Linked DNA regions of Cricetulus griseus. The protein of the gene in region 3 binds, or shares a complex with, the protein of the main gene of each other region. Links are inferred from orthologs where the notes say so. Each region holds a gene or a part of one and is shown on either strand. Other genes may lie near its edges.

The links.
Region 1: Cir1 (region 3) and Sap30 share a complex: the UniProt entries of both Homo sapiens proteins name them as parts of the histone deacetylase complex. The link is inferred for Cricetulus griseus from reciprocal best matches to the Homo sapiens genes CIRSR and SAP30.
Region 2: Cir1 (region 3) and Nkap share a complex: the UniProt entries of both Homo sapiens proteins name them as parts of the notch corepressor complex. The link is inferred for Cricetulus griseus from reciprocal best matches to the Homo sapiens genes CIRSR and NKAP.

The regions. Positions count from the first base shown.
Region 1 is NW_023276806.1:235,752,337-235,759,256, forward strand, and holds the end of Sap30 (histone deacetylase complex subunit SAP30), read right to left. Parts: intron 5,799-6,920; coding exon 5,673-5,798; intron 5,104-5,672; coding exon 5,005-5,103; intron 3,119-5,004; coding exon 2,996-3,118; 3' UTR 2,786-2,995; downstream 1-2,785. UniProt on the Homo sapiens protein: Involved in the functional recruitment of the Sin3-histone deacetylase complex (HDAC) to a specific subset of N-CoR corepressor complexes. Capable of transcription repression by N-CoR.
Region 2 is NC_048604.1:29,365,052-29,372,786, forward strand, and holds part of Nkap (NF-kappa-B-activating protein), read right to left. Parts: intron 4,308-7,735; coding exon 4,237-4,307; intron 4,069-4,236; coding exon 3,928-4,068; intron 2,027-3,927; coding exon 1,963-2,026; intron 1-1,962. UniProt on the Homo sapiens protein: Acts as a transcriptional repressor. Plays a role as a transcriptional corepressor of the Notch-mediated signaling required for T-cell development. Also involved in the TNF and IL-1 induced NF-kappa-B activation.
Region 3 is NC_048599.1:101,833,110-101,841,565, reverse strand, and holds the start of Cir1 (corepressor interacting with RBPJ 1), read right to left. Parts: upstream 6,704-8,456; 5' UTR 6,599-6,703; coding exon 6,527-6,598; intron 4,630-6,526; coding exon 4,535-4,629; intron 1,115-4,534; coding exon 1,041-1,114; intron 530-1,040; coding exon 519-529; intron 436-518; coding exon 371-435; intron 1-370. UniProt on the Homo sapiens protein: May modulate splice site selection during alternative splicing of pre-mRNAs. Regulates transcription and acts as corepressor for RBPJ. Recruits RBPJ to the Sin3-histone deacetylase complex (HDAC). Required for RBPJ-mediated repression of transcription.

The DNA.
Region 1 (6,920 bases), on a different chromosome or scaffold from region 3:
GCATGGCAGTTGCATAATATTGTGAATACACTGAATACCACAAAATTATGTACTTTGGCTGTATATTATGTAAATTTCTCTTCAATGGAAAAATTACATAGCAAAATGGGAGGTTTTTTAAAAAAAAAATTGTAGCCTTTTCTTAATTTGTTTTGGTTCCTAAATATTTTTTAAAGTCCCCCTACAAATTTAATACTCTTTCCTTATACAACTCTTATGACAAATTTGTCTTCTTCTCTTGATGCTGTTAAAAATAACCTGTACCCATGTAAAGATGAGTTTCCATTTACTCTTTATTCAGAGACAAATAAGAAATTACTAGTGAATACATAACATTAAAAACTAAATAGCACAGGAATAAAACTTTATAGAAACTGCTTTATACTACAGCTCAGTGGGTACTCAAGCTTGGTGAGATTCTAGTTTTCAATGTAAAAGAGCCACTCTTTTAATGTTTAAATTGATATGGAAAGGGCCCAGGAAATGGCTCAGCGTGTGAAGATGCTAGCCCAGTGAGTCTGATGATGACTTGAGATTGATTCCCTGAACACATGTAAAAAACTAGATGTTGTGAGCCTCTACAGCAAGATAGGAAATAGAGATAAGGAATCTCCTAGAAGCCTGGGGCCAGCTAGCTGGAATATACCATGCTACAGCAGAAAAAAAGACTCTGCCTCAGTAGGTGAGAACTGGCTCCTGGAAGTTGTCCTCAGACCTTCGCCTGCAGCTTGCACCTTAGTTTAAAAGACCTTTTAAAAATTGCTTTAACAAGGACTTAACTTCATTGGCTAATCACCACTCAGAACCCTATTCTTCAGGGTTATTTTATGATTTTATTATGCAAATAAGTATAAGAAACTACACCTTTAATTCTAGCACTTGGGAGGCAGAGGGAGGTGGATCTCTGAGAGTTCTAGGACAGTCTCCAAAGCTATAGGGAAACTGTTTCCGGGATGGGGGATGGGGGAGGGGACTAAATTACTAGTTATGATACGTTGATCAAATAAGTTTCAAGCTCTTTTCACAAGAAAAAATTTTATAGGGAAAACCATGATGTAGCTGTTTTATTCAAAAATGAAATCATAAGGATTAGGTAAAAATATGGGAGAAATATTATTTTCAAATAAACACTGACATCTTGCAGGTATGTGGTTCATTTTTATACAGCTAAGAAAAATAAATTGTTCCAGAAGGCTCTGGGACACTGCAAATAAAGTTTCCAAAATGCCTAGAATTGTAGCTTCTACTCACCAACAATGTTCTAAGGACATTTTATTTTTATTTATTTTTTTTAAGATTTATTTATTTGTTATGTATACAGTTCTGTCTATATGATGCCTGCAGGCCAGAAAAGGGTACCAGATCTCATTACAGAAGGTTTTGAGCCACCATGTGGATGCTGGGAATTGAACTCAGGACCTCTGGAAGAGCAGCCAGTGCTCTTAACCTCTGAGCCATCTCTCCAGCCCTAAGGACATTTTAAATGGTGCTAAGAACCAAACACCAGTTGCTTTATTTTCTATAATCAACACTTGAGAATAAGTAAACTTACCCCTAATTAATCAGTACTGCAGACACTGTCAGTGGCTCTCAGCTGGTGGTCATTTTTTTTTTTTTTTTTGTCACCTGGGCACCTTTGGCAGTGTCTAGAGGTAATTATCATTGTTACATCTCAGAGCTACTGGCACTTAACAGTAAATGTCATGAACTGTGTGCGCTCATCTTTCTACAACCCAGGACAGCCTCCCATAGCCAACCATCACAGGTCCAAATGTCAACCTTGAGGAACTTTGAGCTGTGTTAGTAGTCTTATCCATTTCCAGCCTAAAGTTTGCAACCATTCTTAGAACATTTTTCCTGGAGCTGCTTTCGTTTTTTGATGTGACAAGCTATAAACCTGATTTGTTATGCTGAGCATTTAGCCAAGCAATAAAATTCCAAGAGAAATAGATGTTAAAAATGGTAAAAAACAAAACAAAACAAAACACTGACAATGAAATATAAAGCAACCCCAACCCTTAAACAAAGAGCTCATTACACATGCAGACTTCTCTAATCTCAGACAAGGTTTGGTTCCATTTTGTTGAGACAAGGTTTGCTCTGCAGCCAGGTCTCTAACCTGTGATCCTCCTGCCTCAGCCTCTAGAGGGCTGATTATAAACATTCACCACACAGCAGTTTAATTAACATGGTTTGAATTTGCAAAGCAAACATTAAAGAATGTGAGTTATTTTCCATGAATTCTTATTTCAACTCTGAGCAAGCGCTGTGCTTACCTTTGCTGGAATGTAGGGTGTCTTTGGAAAGAGAGAGGCACAGAAACTACCTGTTTTTCTTCATATGCCTTCAAAGAATAATAATAACAATGCAAAAGGGAAATTTAAAAGTAGTTAAGAATCAGTGGAAGTCTAATTTTTAAACCTGCTAACATACACTGTGAAGTATTTTAAAAAAAAACACTGTTAGCCTGAAGTAGAGCTTGCCTTTAGTCTGAACACTTGGGAGGCAGAGGCAGGTGGATCTCTGAGTTCCAGGACAGCCAGAGATACCTGTCTCAAAACCAACAGACGCCCCCCCCCACCCCACCACCACCACCACACACTTACTTACAAATCAAATTGATCTAGGGAAATTACATTTATCTGTTGTTTCTCCTTTACCTTTAATTACTTGGAATTTTCAAGAAAAATTTACAAAATAAGGATCTTTACCTGAAACCTTAATACCAATTCCTGAAAGCTTAAAACAAAAACTAAGTTTCACAAAATAAATACACTGAAGCAGCTATAATAGTAATAACCTTTATTTAAAATAGTTTTAATTTAGGAAGCTCATTTCATATGAGTTTCCAACTAATTATTAGAATCAAAACCAAACAAAAAAAGCCAAAGAAAATCCTCTGTAGAAAAAATACCCAAGAACATTTCTACATATGAAAAACAGTAAACATTCTTTACAGCCAGACATCTATGTGCTAGTGTGAATGCCATCTCTCCTAGTGAACACCACTGTCGACCTTGAGATCTGATTTGTTCTTGTCATTCTTCACTGAGTAGATAAAATATGTTAGGGTGTCTTTTTCATTCACTGGAATAGACCTAAAGTGGCAACCAACTATCTACAAAGAAAAAAACAAATTAAATGTTAGATGCAGCAGATTCTGTGAGCCAGGTAAAAGGCACAGTTTAAAAAAAAAAAAAAAAAGGCACAGTTTAGGCCATGTGTTATATGGCCACAAGAGATTGTCTTTTAAAAATTAAGCTGTTTTAACAAAATATGAACAGGCCCCAAAGCACATTTAAAAAAAACAAAATATTATCAACAAAGGACAGTCTGATTTCAAAGGACCCTTTAGTCTACTCAATTCATATGCTCTAATTCTAAGTATTTTACTTGCTTTGGTCCACTGGTTATAAGTATTTTTCCCTTTAAACTTAACAACTTATAAAGTACATATTCTTAAACATTAAATATCAATGACATAAAACAAAAGAGCCAACGTGCATGTCGACTGCATTCACAGGAAAAGATTAATGTAAACAAAACAACAAAAACCCTTGGTAACAAACTATGATATCATATACAATTTTGGTGCAATTGATATTCATTCTCCCTAAGTTTCAGCAAAATTTTCTGAGTAAGATTTAAGAAAATTAAAGGAGCTAGAAAGACGCTCAAGAAGACTGCTTCCCTGTCTTTTCACAGCACAAACCAAACATGCACACTGAGCTACCAACACGAATAAGAAACTGAGCTGCTAATGTGTGCACTCCGATTCCAGAAGATGGCCTGTTTTTCTAGAACAGAAAATAACTCTGTACTAATTCAACTGTTTTTAGAAGACCAGACTTTAAAGTTGAGATTTGAGTTATAAACTATATGATGTTATATCATACAACGTTTGCATCAGTTCTTGGCTCCTCTCTGTTACAAAACAGGGGCGACCATACTTCATTAATGTCTAGTATATTTCATCATAGTAGGGAACATCTTTATGTTTATGTACTGTGCCATGGTAAAAGGACTAGATCTTTAAATAAAATTTGAAGAAAAATTATATTTTTGTCTAGGCAAAAAATAGAGGAGAAAATTTGGCTAGTTAGCATATTGAATTTTAATAATGTAAAAGAACTTTCTACAAAGAATTGCAACTTGTATTTATCTTTTATTTAATATGCACATTAGAAATGTAGGCTAACTACTCAAGTCAAACCCAAGAATATGAGAAAACTCATGTAAACACACACACACACACACACACACACACACACACACACACAGAGAGAGAGAGAGAGATTTCTGTCCTGTCTATTTAGTGGAAAAGTTTATTTTACATATAAAGTCTAATTATTTAAATCTGTAAATACTTTAAAGTGCACAGATTTTGTGGCTCTATTACTTCTTGAAAACACACACACACACACACACACACACACACACACACACACACAGCTAATTTCCAAAGCACTCTGAAGGAACCAAAGTCCTATACAAAATAAACTTTAAGTAAAAGCTTGGATAAAATCTTTGCTCTCTCTCGATGTAAAGAAAGCATCTTCTACTTAAAAACAACAACTACTAACAAAGACAACCTGAAAGTAAAACTAGAAAGTTAGGAAGTACTGCTTCAGGGTTCATCTGTAGGCCTATCCCAGAGAAGCTTTGAAAACTAAATTCTGATAAATGCTTGTAAGCTTATTTATTTGTTATGCCTCAATTAGGTGTTCAATAAACAGACATTGAATAATTAGAAACCTAAAACAGATTTCTGAAGTGATTAAAAACTCACTAAATACTTACTCTGAGAAATCCCTATTAAAAAATGCTGTAAGTGGATTTTCTAGGTGACAGACAGTTGTTTCTAAACCACTATATGCACACCATGATAGACCCATTAACTCTGACTTTCTTAGACATTAGACATTTACCTATTTCATCATCATTTAATCACAACCCTTGTTGGTGTGAACAGGTTTGTTTATACCGTATAAAAATTATACATACCTCAACAAGTTGTGCTTTATTAAGGCCTGGTCTGGTTGGAAGCTTGAAGTGTCTTTTGTATCTTCTAAGTGTATTTACTTGTAATTGGTACAAATCAACCTAGAAAAAAAAAATTAAGATGTAACATAGTTCACTCTGCTGAAAAGATATCACTGATCTGTAAAGCAAAGGGCAATGTCCACTTCAGCACAAGAACAATTTCTTTTCCACAGTCAGATCTAGAGTTTATTAGTTTCACCTTTTGGGGATACATAGTGTAAGCTTTTAGAGGAAAAAAAAAAAGGAAGTTATAGGTCAAGGGCTACAAGAACTGTCACCTGAGATTTAATAGTAGTATAAATGCATGTTTTATTCTATTTACTTATTTATTTTTGGTTTTTCGAGACAGGGTTTCTCTGTGTAGCTTTGTAGACCAGGCTGGCCTGGAACTCACAGAGATTCGCCTGCCTCTGCCTCCCGAATGCTGGGTTTAAAGGCATGCACCTGCACCACCACCACCACCACCCAACCACCCGGCTAGTATAAATACATGTTAACTGATTGTATTTAATTTTGAGATTTGTCAGATGCTTTAAACATTTAAAACTTAATTCAAATATTTACATAAAGGCTTTGGAATTGCCAGCATGCTTATGATTTACATTTAACATAATAAAACTTTGCTCTACCTCTGGAGTATCGATGTCCTGAACAGGTGAGTCTCCTCCATCATCATCACTCCCTTTCCTCTTTCTTCTGTTTCGAACACTCTGAATTAAGTTTTTATGATAATCACAAATATAAAGATGTCTTGCCTGAAACAAAGTTTCATAGACAGTGAATACAGAACAATGCATCTCTGTGTTAGTAAAACACATAGGCCCAGATGAATGACTGAACAGTCTAAGCGGGCCACTGTTAAGACAATGTAACGTTCCTTTCCAAACCGGTTACCTGACTCTAACATTAGCAGTCTGGCAATACTGTTTGTGGGAGAGGGGAGGGGAAGGAGAGTGGTACCATGGGAGAAGGCAGGCAGACAGAGGAAGAGAAATTCCAACCCTCTGGGGTTTGTCATCAAATTGCATTGAGGATGACCTAAATAAATTAGCTCCCGTTGATTTTGAAGGTACAAGGGAAGAGGTGATAATTTTCTCTAATCTGAGAGCAGCAAATCATATTAATGCTCCTAATGTTAGGTATATGCTTCCTAATCTTACTAATTAGTCAAATTCCACACAGATACTAACTAGGCATTTTTACAAATGCGCTATTGAATTCATATCCTATGTTTAAATTTCAAGTACTAACATTTCTTTGTAAGAATTAAATGAATGTATTTATCTGTACTGTGTTGCTTTCAATTAAAGAACACAGAAATTATTCACATTCACTTGCAACATTTCTCATGGGTCCTACTGAAAAACGGCTTAAACAGAAACACAAACTTTTCAAACAATTACACAGGCATTTGAGAGTTACATAATGAGCGATTGGAAATACTGAGCTGATTGACAGTCTCCCCCTCCCCCCTTTAAGGCTACACAATTAAGGGCCTTTTAAATTGACTACTAAGCTAAGAGCAAGTTAAAAAATATACAGATGTGTGGAGGCTCTGTATCCTCTTCTTCATTTGCCACCAGCCAGAGCTCTGGAAAGTAGCAAAGGATCTCTCTGAAACCTCATAGCTGGCCCAAAGAGCAAACGTGCATAAAGACGGGAAAAAAAATCCCGATGGCTGCCAAGTGGGCTGTAAAACCACTGAGGATTATTTGCAGCCTCGGTTCGGAGCAGCTGCACGAAGAGCTGACACCGCAAACACCGTTTACAACCACCTCCCAGTAAGGCACTGGTGAGTTCGGCTTCCCTCTGCGTGTTCAAGAGAAACAATATCGAGGGGAATGCAGGGGGGAGATTTCCCTTCTCTGCGACGTGGG
Region 2 (7,735 bases), on a different chromosome or scaffold from region 3:
TTATCATGTAGAAAGATAATGGAAATAAAATAGCTTAAAGCCTAACTCTCAGGCAGGAGGTGAAAGCTTATGTCTGTAATTGTTGTAGAATAATCTTTTTATACACTATAAAGAAGTGTCACTTGGGTTGCTTTAATAAAAAACTAAATGACCAATAGCAAATCAGGATTTCGGGGGCACAGAGAATGCTGGGAAGAAGGCAGAATCGCCAGCCAGATGCAGAGGAAGTGAAACATGCAGGAAGAGAGGTGAAAGCCATCAGCCACGTAGCACCATGTAGATGAATAGAAATGGGTTAATTTAAGTTCTAAGAGCTAGTTAGAAACAAGCCTAAGCTGTCAGCCAAGTTTTCATAATTAATAAAAAATGTCTGTGTCATCATTTGGGAGCTGGCTAGTGGGATACAGAAAGACTAGCTACATGTAATCCTAGCACCTTGGAGCTAGAGGCAGGAGAATCAAGAGTTCAAAGAAATCCTATGCTATCCAGTGAGCCTAAGGCCAGCCTGGGGTATATTAGACCCTAACTCAAAAAACAAACATACGAGGGTTAAAGAGATTGTTCTGCCCTGCTGGGCGTTGGTGGCGCATGCCTTTAATCCCACCACTCCAGAAGCAGAGGCAGGTGGATCTCTGTGAGTTCAAGGCCAGCCTGGTCTACAGAGGGAGTGCCAGGACAGCCTCCAAAGCAATACAAAGAAACCCTGTCTCAAAAAACAAACAAACAAAAAAGAGATTGTTCAGCAGTTGCAAGTGCTTGCTGCTCTTCCAGAGAACTAGAGTTCATATGCCAGCACCCACATCAGGTAGCTCATAACCATCTGTAATTCCAGCTCCAAGGGCTCTGATACCCTTTTCTGGCCTCTCCAGGTACCTATATATACATGGTGCATACACAGATTCATACATACACTTAAAGGAAAATAAATCTTTCTTATGAAAACATAAAACAGGCTGGAGAGATGGCTCAGAGGTTAAGAGCACTGACTGCTCCTCCAGAGGACCCAGGTTCAATCCCCAATCCCCAGCACCCACATGGTGGCTCACAACCATCTGCGTAAGATCTGGTGCCCTCTTCTGGCATGCAGGGATATGTACAGGCAGAACATAAAAGCAAACAATCCCAAATACAGAAAAAATTCACAAAAACTAAATGAAATGCAAAAACAACCCACAAAACCAAATAAGTTCTCACCAATGTAAACATTAATAAAAATTTTCAGTATGATGGATTAAAATACAGCAAATATGTTTAAATAGCAGCATTCAAAGTAAACTACCACCGTTTTTCAATTTCCATAACATACTGAACCTTGACAAAGACCAGTAGTGTTTGTTAATATAACAAAAAGAGAGAAGACAGTAGCCATCTACTGATGGTGTACACAGCACCACCTAGAAAGTAGTCCTGGCCAAAGTTCCAACTTGAACCGTGCCTACCTCTAGAAAGAAGACAGGAAAGCATGCTAATTCACTCACAATAACCACTATAATTTACAGACATTATTTGCACTCTGATTCAAATAAACTATAGGGAAAAAATACAGAGAATTGACTGTCCATTTTTTTTGTTTGTTTCTTAAGACAGTGTTTTTCTATGTAGACCCGGCTGTCCTAGAACTCACTGTGTAGTGGTCATCAGCCTGTCTTTGCCTCCTAAATGCTGGGATTAAAGGCGTGTGCCACCAATGCCCAGCAACTGTTAAATATGTAGGCACAATAAAAGTTAGCATCTTTCTATTTTAAAAAAAATACCTTTTAGAGAAAGGTACTAAATTATCGAATTATTTATGGAAGGAATGATAGCTCTCATTAGTATCAAAATAATTGGAGAGTGGTGGAAACTACCCATGAGAGAATAATTAGTCACACTGGGTATGTATATGGGGGATCATTATACTATTTTACATAATTTTATAAGTATTTTAAACTTTTTCATTACAAAAAGTAAAGAAAAACTTACATTCTCCGTTTCCTCTTCTTTTCTTTTTTCTTAGCTTTCTTTGCTCTTCTCTTTGTATCTTCATCTGAAAATTAAAGCACATATTATTGAAAAAAATGACATTCAAAATTCCAATATTTTAACAGGTAAATATTCTACTGTTGCAAATGTTCATTTGTTGCTGCAGAGAAATTATTCATTCTGACGTTTATTGAAATTTGCCAGGAACTATACTAGGGGCAGGAGTCAAAGAAATTAAAATCATAGACCAGCAAGATGGCTCAGTGGGTAAAACGCTTACTGTCAAACCTGATGACTTGAATTTGAGCCTCAGAACTACATGGTGGAAGGAAAGAACTGATTCCTGTAAGTTATCCTCTGATCTCTTCACACTGGCTGTGGCATGTATGAGTGCATACACATAAGGACATACAATAAATAAGTGTAAATAAGTTAAAGTCACACTAAGTATTAATAATATGGGGAATCACTTTATTTATTATATATCATTAATTTATTCATTGCACCAATGGCATTGGTTAAGTAGGAAAAAGTCCTATTTCAAAGGAGTGCATATAGAAATATTCTTGGAATGATAGTCAAGGAACTTACTCTGAATAGATCAGCAACTTCCCCTACCCCCATATTTTACACAAATATGTCAAAATGCTAACAGAAACTAATAATGATAATGATGATAATTACATTATTCCCTTTACTTCCCTAAGAATTGTTAAAGTTTCACAGTGAGAAAAAGAAAAACCAAAAGAACCCACTCTGTGTGGAGAGGAAGAGAATGCTTTCCATTCCCAGAACCTCAGTGGGATGGAGGTGAGATGGTAATGAAATGAGCATAATATGGGCTGACAGAGAAAAGCATGGGGCATGAGGAGACAGAGGAGTCTGCAAACCAGCGAGACATGCACTGGCAAGATGACTCAGTTGGGAAACGTGCTTTGTTGAGCATGAAGACCTGAGTTCAATCCCCAGGCCCCACGTGATGGAAGGAGAGAAACTTCAACTCAAGTTACTCCTTAACTTCCATGCATGTCGGGAGGTGTGCGTATCCATATCCATACACACGTGCACAAAAGAAATGACTAAAGTGTAATTAAAAACATGACTTATTTGGAAAGATAATTAAGGAATGGTTAACCTGGAAGCAGTGACTAGCAGTTTTTGAAATCAGTTTATTACAAAAGTACTACATGGGGTTGGAGAGATGGCTCAGTGGTTAAGAGCACTGACTGCTCTTCCAGAGGACCTGAGTTCAATTCCCAGCAACCGCATGGTGGCTCACAACCATCTATAGCAGGATAGACAGAGCACTCATATATGTAAAATAAATAAATAAATCTAAAAAAATTGAAAAAAAAAGCACTGCATGTCCATTGCTGCACTATGTAAGCCAAGGTGGATACAGGGAGTGACTAGCTTTAAAGGCAGAGGGCCTGCTGTACCAAGTGACACATACGTAACTGTAGAAAATTAAATAAGGCCGGGCATTGGTGGCACACACCTTTAATCCCAGCACTCAGGAGGCAGAGGCAGGCAGATCTCTGTGAGTTTGAGGCCAGCCTGGTCTCCAGAGTGAGCCAGGATAGGCTCCAAAGCTACACAGAGAAACCCTGTCTCAAAAAACCAAAAAAAAAAAAAAAGAAAGAAAGAAAATTAAATAAATACGAAAAATTTAAATGTAATCAGAAAACTAACATGGTCATAATTATGGTTATAATTCAACACATTTTTAAAAAGCTGAGGGGGTAGAGAGATGGCTTAGCAGCTAAGACCACTGGCTGCTCTTCCAGAGAACTACCAGCACTCACGTGGTGGTCTGTAACTCCAGTTCCAGGGGATTTGACACCCTCTTCTGGTCTCCACAGGCAGAGGGAATACATATGATGCACAAACAATACAGCCTTAAGCGCAACATTTTTAACAACTAAAATGCACTCTGGGGTTTGCAGAACGCTACAGCTTTCTTACCACTGGAGTCTGTTTCAGATTCAGAGTCACTGTCACTATCTTCAGAATACTTCTTATGTTTTCTTTTAGATGACTTTTTCTTTCTCTTTTTCTTGGATCTTTCTTTTGAATGACTAGATTTCCTTTTCTTCTTCTTGTCATCTGTTGTAAGTACAAATGAAAAATGAACTTCCTCAGAAGTATTTCTGGACATCTTACTATATTTCAGATACTGAAAAGGAATAGCTATTTGGTAGTCTACTGTTCAATTATTTATAAACATACTTTTTAAATTTGTGAAGTAGTAACTTCCTTATTTTCCAAAATTACCTTCTGAACTCGATGCTGAAGTAGTGCTTTTCTTTGGCTCTTCATCCTCTACTGGTGTATGTTCATCAGAGCTGAATTACAGAAAACGGTTGGAAGAAATATGTACCATAGGGCATTAAAATATGCACTTAAAATTCTTCAGTAACAGCACTCATTGCCTAGGAACTTTTAAAGACAAGCATTTAAAATTATTGTTATTATTATTATTATTTTATCTTACATGTAGGGGCATTTTGCCTACACATACGACTGTGCCTGGTGCTCACAAAGGCTAGAGGAGGCATCGGATCCTCTGGAACTGGAGTTAGAGAATGGTTGTTATGTGGGTGCTGTGGATCAAGTTCAGGTTGCCAGAAGAACAGCCAGTGCTCTAAACCACTGAACCCTCTCTCTAGCTCTCAAAGGCAAGCATTTTTGTAAGAGTATATTCAGAAATCTACCATCTTCATAATAGGAAAATGACTGATATTTCTATAATGCTTTCATTTACACAGTACTGTTTAAAAAAGCAATGTGTAAGACTTATATTTTTAGAAGAAACTCACAAGATGAAAGTTAAGAAATAGGCCGGGAGGTGGTGGCGCACGCCATTGTGGGTTGGAGACCAGCCTGGTCTACAAGAGCAAGTTCCAGGACAGCCTCCAAAGCCACAGAGAAACCCTGTCTCAAAAAACCAAAAAAAAAAAAAAAGAAAGAAAGAAAAAAAGAAAGTTTAGAAATAGAAAACATCAAGAAAAGGCAAACATGAAGACTGATGGAAGAGTTCATGATTTTATTATTTTCGGGCTGTAGGGATAAAACCTAGGCCTCAAAAATGCTTGGTTTTAACACTGGTTTTGGTTTTGACTGTTTTAACACTGAGAGATATTCTAGTACCAGAATTTTATTCCTAGTAGATGAAGGATATACATGAGAACAACTCGAATCTCCAGGATTTTATTCTAAGTATATGAAGGATATATGCTTAGCATAACTCCCATCTCCCCAAAACCTAAAAGACTGCAGAATTTGTAAAATAAATTCTAAAAGTAAGTTTTTTTGTTTGGGGGTTTAGTTTACTTAGTACATACATGAATATTTGTGTCTGTGTGTGTGTGTGTGTGTGTGTGTGTGTGTGTGTGTGTGTGTGTGGAGGTTAGAGAACAATTTTCAGGATTTGGTTATCCGTCCACCCTATGTGAGTCCCATGGATCAAAATGAAGTTGTCAGAACTGGCAACAAGCACCTTTGCCTGCTGAAACATCTCACTGGCCTGGGAACTCGCTATGCAGCTAAGGATATTCTTTCACTTTTGACCCTCCTGCCTCTGCCTCTTCAATCCTGATATTATAAATCACATACCACCATGACTGGTTTATGTGGTGCTAGAGATCAAACCCAGGGTCTTATGCATTCTAGACAAGCACTCTAACAGCTGTTATCTGCTCAGCAAATTAGTGTGTGCACTACTCTTGCATAGGACCTCAGTTTGATTCCCAGCACCCACGCTGGGTGGCTCACAATCACCTATAACTCTAGCTCCAAGGAAATCTGATATCACTGGCCTCTGGGACACTAGCTGTGCATACCCATGGAAACCCACACAATAGAAATAATTAAAAGCAGGGGCTGGAGAGATGGCTTAGAAGTTAAGAGCACTGACTGCTCTTCCAGAGGTCCTGAGTTCAATTCCCAGCAACCACATGGTGGCTCACAACCACCTATCATGAGATCTGGTGCCCTCTTCTGGCGTATAGGCAAACATGCAGACAGAACACTGTATATGTAATAAAAATAAGTAAATAAATGTTTAAAAAAAAGAATGTCAGAAAAAATATTTAAAAAAAGAAATAATTAAAAGGTGATATGAACCTTTAATCCCAGAACTTAGGAGGCAGAGGCAGGAAGATCTCCGTGAATTTGAATCCACCGTGGTCTACAGAGTGAATTTCAGGTCAGCCAGGGCCACATAGTGAGACTTTGTCAAAAATAATAAATAAATCTAAAAACTTTTTCTTAATTCTTTGGGACAGGCTCTAAAAAATTAAAATGATTTGATGGTACCAAAGGAAAATTCTCATATTATGTCATCTTTCCTTTAAAGTTTTGAAGATCACACATGAAATTACTTAGGTATTATTTATCAAAATATTTTTAGGATTTCCTTTAATTTTCATTCAATGGGTTCAAGTATCTATAAGAACAAGTTTCGGGCAGCTTCCAAAGCCACGGAGAAACCCTGTCTCGAAAAACCAAAAAAAAAAAAAAACAAAAACAAGTTTCAGATAATATTGCTTTATCACCCTGACACAAATTATAATTTTCTTGTTAAGCACACTGTCTCAAAAATAATCCAAGAGTGGAGTGGAACTGGGCAGGGGTGCCCTTAATCCCCACAGTCAGATCTGAGTTTAAGGACAGCCTGGTCTACAGTGAGTTCCGAGACATCCAGGGCTACACAGAGAAACCTCTCATACAAACAAAAACATAAATAAATAAATAAATAAATAAATAAATAAATAAATAAATAAATAAATAAATAAATAAATATGGGGCCAGCATGTTAAAGGTGCTTGCTGTCAAGTCTGATGATCTGAGTTCCAACCTTTGAGTCCATAATGTGGAAGGATCGATCAACTCTCACCTGTGTGCTATGGCACACAAATGCTCCCACAAATATTAACATTTACAAAGAAATAAAGAAAATAAAGACTAAAAAGAACTAGGCCTTCAGAGTATTAGATATAAGAAACATTTTTTAAATGGCAGAATATTAATTTTAAAAAATTCTTGGTGACTTTACTGTAGACTTGAAACTCTGAAACTACAAGACGAAAAAACCTACAAAATATAAACATAGAGGATGAAAGAGTGGCTCAGTGGTTTAGCACACTGGCTGCTCTTTGTAGAGGTCCCAGGCTTACTTCCCAGCTCGCACATGACAGTTCACACCATCTGTAACTCCACTTTCCGGGGATCTAATAATGCTCTCTTCTGACCTCTGCAGGCCCAGGTGTGCATGCAGTACATTTATATACAATGTAGGCAAAACACTTATAAAAGAAAATATATTGTTTTCAAAAAAGATAGGCCTAAGCAAGAGCTTTCTAAATAGGATGCCAGTTGTTCACTAAATAAATCCCTAGATAAACATAGGGGACTTTGTGAGATGAAAACCCCTTGTACAGAAAAGAAAAACAACTGAGTGACAGAAGAGTCAGAATACAGAATGGGAGAAAATCTTACTACCTATACATCTGGCCGAGGAGGAAACCAAGAATATACAAAGAACCAAAAAAACTAAACAAGAAATCAATACAACAAATGGGCTAAGCTGGGCAGTGGTGGCGCTCACCTTTAGTTCAGCACTTGGGAGGCAAAAGCAGGTGGATCTCTGTGAGTTCAAGTCCAGCCTGGTCTACAGAGCAAGTTCCAGAACAGCCAAAGCTACACAGAGAATCCCTATCTCAAATAAATAAATAAATAAATAAATAAATAAATAGGCTAATGAAATGAACAT
Region 3 (8,456 bases):
CAACCTTCCTAATGCTTCAACCCTTTAATACAGTTCCTCATATTGTGGCGATTTCCCCAACCATAAAACTATCTTCATTGCTACTTTCCAACTGCAATTTTGCTACTGTTACGAATCCTAATGTAAATACATCTGTGTTTTCAATGGTCCTTTGAAGGTGGCAACTCACAGGTTGAGAACCACTGGTCTACATAGTCTGATTGTGTAGAGTTTTAAAAAGCAAACAAGTTCTCGAATCAAGGCCAGAATGAAGCATGCTGTCTGTCTGCGGTAAGTCAGTTAGTTACTGCCCTGGTCAATGAACCAAGAGGCAGGAAGGACTGCAGACATGATACAAACATGTTTTCTCTAGTAACAAACCAGTGCTTACTTTTCTCTTGGAGCACCTTTCTGCCATTCAAACTTGTATTCCGTCTCTCCTTCTGTTTCTTCTTTCTACAAGAGTTAGTAAAAATTCTTTAATTTTCCATAAAATCGCAGTCAACCATATATCAATTCAAACAGAGAAGAGTACTTACCTCTTTGTTTTCTTGATTGTATGTTCAAAGCAGAGGGAGAAGCAGGACAAGTTAGCAATGTCAGTGGAAAAAGTCTACTACTTATTATGCTGTATTACTTAACCGTAACCTGTAAGGATCAACTAGTTTTTCTTTTATCATAAGATATAACTCCAAATGACTGAAGGATAAAATACACTAGAGTCCAGAATAGGTATCATGATTTTTAAGCATTTATGTTTTTCACGGGCAGTGAATAGACTTTCCATTTGAAAATGTATTTAGTAAGGATTACAGCTATGTGTACATTATAAAAGGATGAATATACTTCTGCAATATTGAACATTTCCCTCCCACAAAGGACATAAGCCACATTAGGAAAATATTTTGTGTTTATTCTACCATGAGATGACAGCATTTGAGCTGATATCATCACAGAGTAACATCAATGGGAAAGGCAAAGAATAACCTTTAAAATCCTGTTTGCTCTTCTCAACCTTCATACATACCCACATTAAAGCTTAAAGGAAACAAGGCAAGTACCTTTTTTAACTCCTGGTGGGGCCTCATACATGAAATTCAGGCCGTTCTTTACACGCTCATCTCCCATAAGCAATCTAAATGAAATAACGGTACAATTTTAAACAAAAGGAAGAGCATGATAGCATAACATCTCTCAAAGAATAACCCTAAAATAATGAAGATATTTTTATTAGTGATAAAGCCCAAAAAGTGCTGTCTTATTAGGAACTTGATGTAACTTTTCGGCTTCCTTCTTCCCTCTAGCTCTCCCAATGAGAAAGGAAAAAAGATGGCATGGTTACTCTTACAGAATTTTCTTAATCACTATGAAATGCTGCCGAAATAGTTTTGAAATCCTATGTGCTATCATATATTTTGGTGCCACAACCTTTTCTTTTTAAAGTGATTTTATATCTTTTCATCTTGGTTTTTCCAGACAGGGTTTCTCTGTGTAGCCATGGCTGTCCTGGAACTCACTCTGTAGACCAGACTGGCCTCCAACTCAGAGAGATCTGCCTGCCTCTGCCTCCAGACTGCTGGGATTAAAGGTGCACACCACCGCCACCACCAGCTATTTTAGTATTTTTAATTGTGTGTGTGTGTGTGTGTGTGTGTGTGTGTGTGTGTGTGAGAGAGAGAGAGAGAGAGAGAGAGAGAGAGAGAGAGAGAGCGCACGCACATGCATGTGGAGGTCAGAGGTGAAGTAGGGTGTTTTTCTCAACTATTCACCTTATTTTTAATTAATTATTATGTGTGATGTGTGTAGAAGCATGTTTGCATGCATGTAGACTGTTTTCTGCTTCTACCTCTATGTGGGTCTTACGGATTGCATTCACCTTTACTCATCTGGCCAGCCCTCCACCTTACTTTTTAGACACGGTCTCTTACTAAATCTGCGGCTCAATGATTGGACTAAATAGCTAGCTAGCAAGGGCCAGGGATCTTCCTGTTTCTATCTCTGTAGCATTGGGATCACAGGCAAGCACTAACCATCTGGCTTTTTATGTGGGGGTTTAGAATCCAAACTCAGGTCCTCTTACTTTCATGACAAACACTACAAGCTGAGCTAACTCCTAGGCCCTAAGAACCAATTTTTTCTTTTTCTGAAAACAAGGAAAAAAATTAACAAAATTCTGCAATTGGCTAATATACTGAAGGCAGAAATGACTATTACTCAAAAAATCTTAGGTAGTGACTGAAACTTCTGTTGTAGGTTCTGTGTACAGTGTGCTGCTGTTGGGTTTCTTAGGTAAAAGGCCCACAACAAACAGGATGGCTACACCAACTTAATGTTAAGTCTGTAAAATCCAAGTTAAATATTAGCAAAAGCTAAAGTGTAAGTAAGAAACGTCTTTGTATTTGGAAAAGGCAATCACAAAGGATATGCTATACATTATTGTAAGCAAATCTCAGTTTTTCTCTATTGGACTCTATACTCCCAGTTCTCCCCCCCCCCCAAAAAAACCCAAAAACCAAAAACCAAAACAAAAGGACATATAAATATATATCTTTATTGTGGAACATTATTCTTTAATTAAAAGGAATGTGTACTAATGTATGTGGTAGATTACCTTCAAAAATATGCTAAATGAAAGAAATCAGGGGCCAGTCACATGTCTCAGTGGCCAAAGCTGCCGCCACCCAAGCTTACCGGCCTGAGTTCAATCCCTGGGACCCACACAGTGAAAAGAGAGAACTGCCTCTGACTCTCACATGTGCACCAAGGTCCTCATATGCCACATACATACATACATACATACATACATACATACATACATACATATATATATAAGTAAATACACACACACACACACATATATACATATATATATATAGACATACATACATACATATTCGAGACAGGGTTTCTCTGTGTAGCTTTGGAGCCTATCCTAGCCCTCACTCTGTAGACCAGACTGGCCTCAAACTCACAGAGATCAACCTTCCTCTGCCTCCCAAGTGCAGGGATTAAAAGCATGAGCCACCACTGCCTGGCCTAAGAAAATATATTTTTAAAAATTTAAAAAATTAGCCAGTCGTGAAAGCCCTTGACACTGGGCACACACTCTGGTGCTAGTTGACACTCCTCAACTATCTCCCAAAGCCCAAGAGGCTAATGCAGTTAGCATGAAGTATGCCCGGGGCACTGCAAGCAGGGCAAGATAAAAGCTCTCCTGGTGTGGGCAAGCAAGATGGCTCAGCGGGTAAAGGTGCTTACCACCAACCCTGAGAATCTGAGTTTGTTCCTTGGGACCCACATGGAGAGACTTGACTATTGAAAGTTGCCCTCTGACCTCCACTCATGCCCCACCCACAGGCACAAACTGACTAAATAAACAAATAAATAAGTGTAACTTTTAAATGTAAAGAAAAAAAGTCACAAAAGACCATTTTATCATCTGCCTTATGAGTCCATAACTCCACAAAAATTCATAGGTATAAAATGGTGATGACTTGTGAAAGGCAGAAATAGGATAAATTAGGAAATGGGGAATGACTACTAATGAATACAGTTCCTTTTCAAGTGATGAAATGTTTTGAAATTCGATATGGTGATGGCTTAGCAACACCAAACAAATTAAAAAACCCATGTATATTGGACATTATATGTATATTAAACAGATGTGTAAATTTTGTCTTAGCACCATTTAAAAATTATAAATCAAGTACATGAAACACTGAGCTTTATTAGAAATGGAGAAATAGAAATCAAACTACAAGTCACCACCTCATACTTATCAGCATGGTTATTACTAAATGAGCTGAGATGTAACCCAGTTGGCAGAGGCAGAGTGCTGGCCTGACACAGCAAGCCCTGGGTTTGACTCCCACCATCACATACACTGGGTACAGTGGCACATGCCAGCATTTGGGAGTTCAACTTCACAGGAAGTTCAAGATCAGCTTAGGCTATGGAAAAGTTTGGTGGTTCTTTAAAAAACTAAAAAAGGATTACCTTGAGATCTAGAAGTTCTGCTCCTAAGCACATACACAAAGCAACTGAAAACAGTCTTGAACAGATATCGATATGCTAATGTTAATAGCGTGATCCAAATACCCATAAACTGATGAATGTCTCAAGTTTCCAATGTAAATGTTTCAAAAACAAATGTTTCGGAGCACAGTCTATATAACCAAAACACCACTACTCAATTAACCAAATACAAGCACATTGAAAGCAGCTAAAGGCATGTACCATCCTGGAAGAAGCTAATGGACTCTAGCCACAGCGCACAGACACCCGGCTTTTCTCTTCTAAGTGTCCTGAGTATCTTTCACTCCAGTGTATTTAAAAGAAACCTTTCTAATCAGGCTTAGTAGTTAACATGCAGAGCTTATTATTTCTGCAAGCTGTCTCATGTGGGACTTGCTAACAGTCTGGATGACTCAATGAAGCTGTGTTTTATGTAAAGAATAGGTAAATTTGGAAAAGGTGACCATGTATAATTATGGCAGAGAAGCTGACTCAATATTGCAAATGATTATACTAAAAACACTGAAAAGGTGGCACTTACCTGTTATCATACGACTCTTGTTCTTTAAGGTACTGTTGCATTAGTTCTTCTTGTTTCTTTTTATCATATGATATTTTCTGTTCTGCCATCCATACCTATATTAGTGAAACAAAATATAATTTAACAACTGAATTAAATAAGAAGTCTGTTTTGTGTGTATATACATTCGTGTCTGCATGTATGTACTATGTGCCTGTGAGTATGGAGTACAGGGTTTAAAACAAATTATCTTCCCCAGTCACTTTCCACTTGACTTATTGTAACAGGGTCTCACTGAACCCAGAGTTCAACAATTATACTAGTATAGCTACCAACTTGCATGAAGATCTCCTGTCTCCATCCCGAAGGTGAAGATCACAAATGGGCCACTATTATTTTATGTGGGTACTGGGAAACCAAATTCTAACCTCACACTTGTGCATCAAGCACTTTATCCACTAAGCCATCTTGATAGTCCTGGAAGCTCCATTGTCTTCTATAATCAACCACACATGGTTAGCCAGGCATGCTGGTGCATGTCTGCAATCCCAGAACTCAGGAGGCTGAGGTAGGACTACTAAGAGTTCCAGGCCAGCCAGAGCTACACAGTGAGATCTTGTCTGAAAAAAAAACAGCCCCCTCCCACACACACAAAAGAGAAATTACCGTGTATCTCAAGCTTTATATTTCACTGTTATTTAAATAGTCTCAATTGCTCAAGAACTTATATTCCATTAACTGAAATAAAAATAAAACACAGGTCCATTGCCAGAGCACTCATAGGATTCTTCTGCACATTATAAACTATTTCACGATTTAAGAAGGAGATACAAAAGTCAAGTGCAGTGGCTTAAACCTGTCATCCCAGCATTTGGGAGGCAGAGACAAGAAGATCAGGGGTTCAGGGCCATTCACCCTCGATAGCAAGAGGAGACCCCAACTCAAAAAAGAGACCATGAAAAGTGTAAAAGACATGTGGACAATAGGAGTATGGACAAAATAAACAGAACAAGGGGGGAGGTCAAGGGATAAGGCAGAGATTGAAATACCTAGCAAGATTCTGGGGGGCAGGGAGTGACTTAAAATTATGTAGCATGTTTTTAATCCTAGCACTTGGGAGGCAGAGGCAGGTGAATCTCTATGAGTTCGAGGACAGCCTGGTCTACACAGAGAAAACCTGTCTCAAAGAAAAAATGAAGTAACTATATTTACAAATAACTCGTGTTAGCACTTCTTGTATTTTCTTCCACAGATATTCTAATGCACATGTACGCTTATTTTTACATAACATGGTAACATACAGGACTCACGACTGGCTTAGAAACAACTAAAAGCTCAATATATTCTCACAAGCTTGTGTGTACTTTCTGAGTATTTTCCGTGATGCACAGTGCTAAGCCTTCATTTCCCGTTTCTATTCTTTCCCCCACACTATCTCATTTAATCTTCCTGACAATTTTACACATTAGGGCAACCGACACTGTCATTTTTAATTAGTAAAGTAGGAGGCTGAAGATAATGACATTAAACATTTTGTGCGAGGCCTCAAGGCTAAACGTGACTGTCCTGATCTATCAAGAATCCTGGTCTGAGCCCAAGGCTACGACACTCCCCGTCGCCATTCTTCCGCCGTAATTCTCTCCTCTGTCCTGTGTCCAGCACTTGGTTGAGCTGTAATTTTTTTTTTTTTAAACGCTGAACTTGAATGCGGCCATCAGACACGACCCTACGGGATGCAGATGTGGGATGGGTAGTGAAAGCAGGGGTGGTTTTCCCTTGAGAGACCTGTTTAAGCGGTGAGTCTTCACACAGGGAAGCAGAGCTTACGGGTCTCGTCTTAGGGCTCTGGGATTCGGACCCGGAATCCACCCCGACTGACAGGGCCGGACTTTGGGGACCACTCGGTATGTGGGGTTAGCACGGAGAACGGGGCGACGTCTCCAGGCCTGCGGAGGACACAACTGTCCCAGGGAGCTCGGCACCTCGCTGCCCTCTCCGGATCCCTTCACTCACCTTCTTGATGTTGGATTTGGACGCAGGATGGAAGTCCTTTTTGCACATGAAATTAGCGAACGACTTCCCCATCTTGGAGTCCGAGAGGGAGAAGCCCGCCGCTGGGTCTGCGAGGAACGTAAACAAACTCCGGGAGCGTCACCGGAACTGTAAGGAGAGCATAAGCGAGGACTTCCGATGTCGAAGGTGGCTACTTCCGACGATTAGCTCCTGGGCCCGCCCCTTCGCTTCCGGCGATTGCTTTTGGTAGCGGCGGAGGCTAACCCGGCGTCCGCGCGTGCGCAGCTGAGGTAAGCCGAATTCTGCGCGAGCCTCGCGCGGTGCGGGGCCCCTGTGGGCTCTGCGCGCCAGCTTCGCTCCGAGCGCAGGCATCGCAGAGCAGCCGAGGTCTTGAAATTGGAGCCCAGCACTTACTGGAAACTTCGACTCCAGTTGCAAATACTTAAAAAAAAATATTTTTTTTGGAGCTTAGTTTCCATGTGGTTTATGGAGACAGTAACAAGCCTCGCGGCGACTGTAGGACGTTTGTGAGACTCAAAAGATTGGTGTTGTCGAAAGCACTGAATACACTGTTGGCGCCTCAAGAAGCGAGGCTGTTCCCTTCCGGTTGTTATGTTTTTTTGAGGCACGGTCTTACTCTCTAGCATTGGCTTGAACTAAGTAGACCAGGCCGGCCTGGAACTCACAGATCATCCTGCCTCTGCCTCCCGAGAGCTGGGAATAAAGGCGTGAGCCACGACATACAGCTTCTTCGGTTATTTCCAGCCATGCAGAGAGAAGTTCAACAAACATCGTGAATGATGAAAACACGTTAGGGCCAAGGGCTTTCCTCTCCGGGTGCTGATCTCTTAGTTGCTGCCGCTATCCCAGAGAGCGAGCCACTCGCAGCGGCTGGGTGGTCCTAGGGTGTGGTCTGGGTGTGGCTGTTAGTCCTCTAGCAAGGATAAGTATAAACCAGCTTAAAACCAGTGACAGCTTTCGCTTGAGGGTCAAATGTGTTCCAGGTAATTTTGTCATGTCTTATTTGTGACCCGGTCCATGTATCCATCAAACTTGGATACACGCATGCACCCCCAAGCCGGGCTTTCCCTTGCAGGGTCATACTGAGTCAATCCTCAAAGCAGCACTATTAGATGGTGTTTTATTTTATTTTACGGATGAGCCTGGAAGAAAAGAGGACGAGAATAAATAGCCTCCCTATGTTAGTACTAAGGTAGCTAACTTTGGGCACTGTAAATGGGAAATCAGAACTTTCAGAGAGCCTCCTGAAAAGGCACAAAAGAAAAACAGGGTCACTTTTTCCCATCTTGAGAAGAGAAGAACCTTCAAGGTGTTCCATGGTGAACTTGTTTCCTGAGTCACGTTGTTCGTTTTGAAACGGGGTTTCACTATGCTGTTCTTGAATTATGTAGCACAGGCTAGAGCTTTAAACTCTAGCTCATCCTGCCAATGCTGAGATTACCATACCCTGCTTCGTTTTCCTTTCAGTAAATATTAATTTATGTTTATTTTATTCATATTCATTATATTTTTGTTCTGTTTTAAAATGGCAGTATGTTCGTGTATAAAACTATGCTAAGATTTGGTCTTATTAAAAAAGGAAACTGGGCTGGAGTGATAGCTGAGCGATTAAAGATAACTCACCACTTTTCCTGAAGACTTAAATTCAGTTACCAACACGCACTTGAGATGCCTCACAACCTCCTATAACTCCAGCTTCAGGGCGTTTGATGCCGGATTCTGAATTAATTAAACACCCCCATAGTTATGGCAGACAGACAGACACATACATACATGCACATAAATAGTAAAAATAAATTTTAAGAAATTAAAAATAAAAGCAGGGAACTAAAACTATGTTCTGAAAGCAAAATAAAAATATAGGATCTTGAATTGTTCTAAAAATGAGGATTTAAGATAAAGACAATTT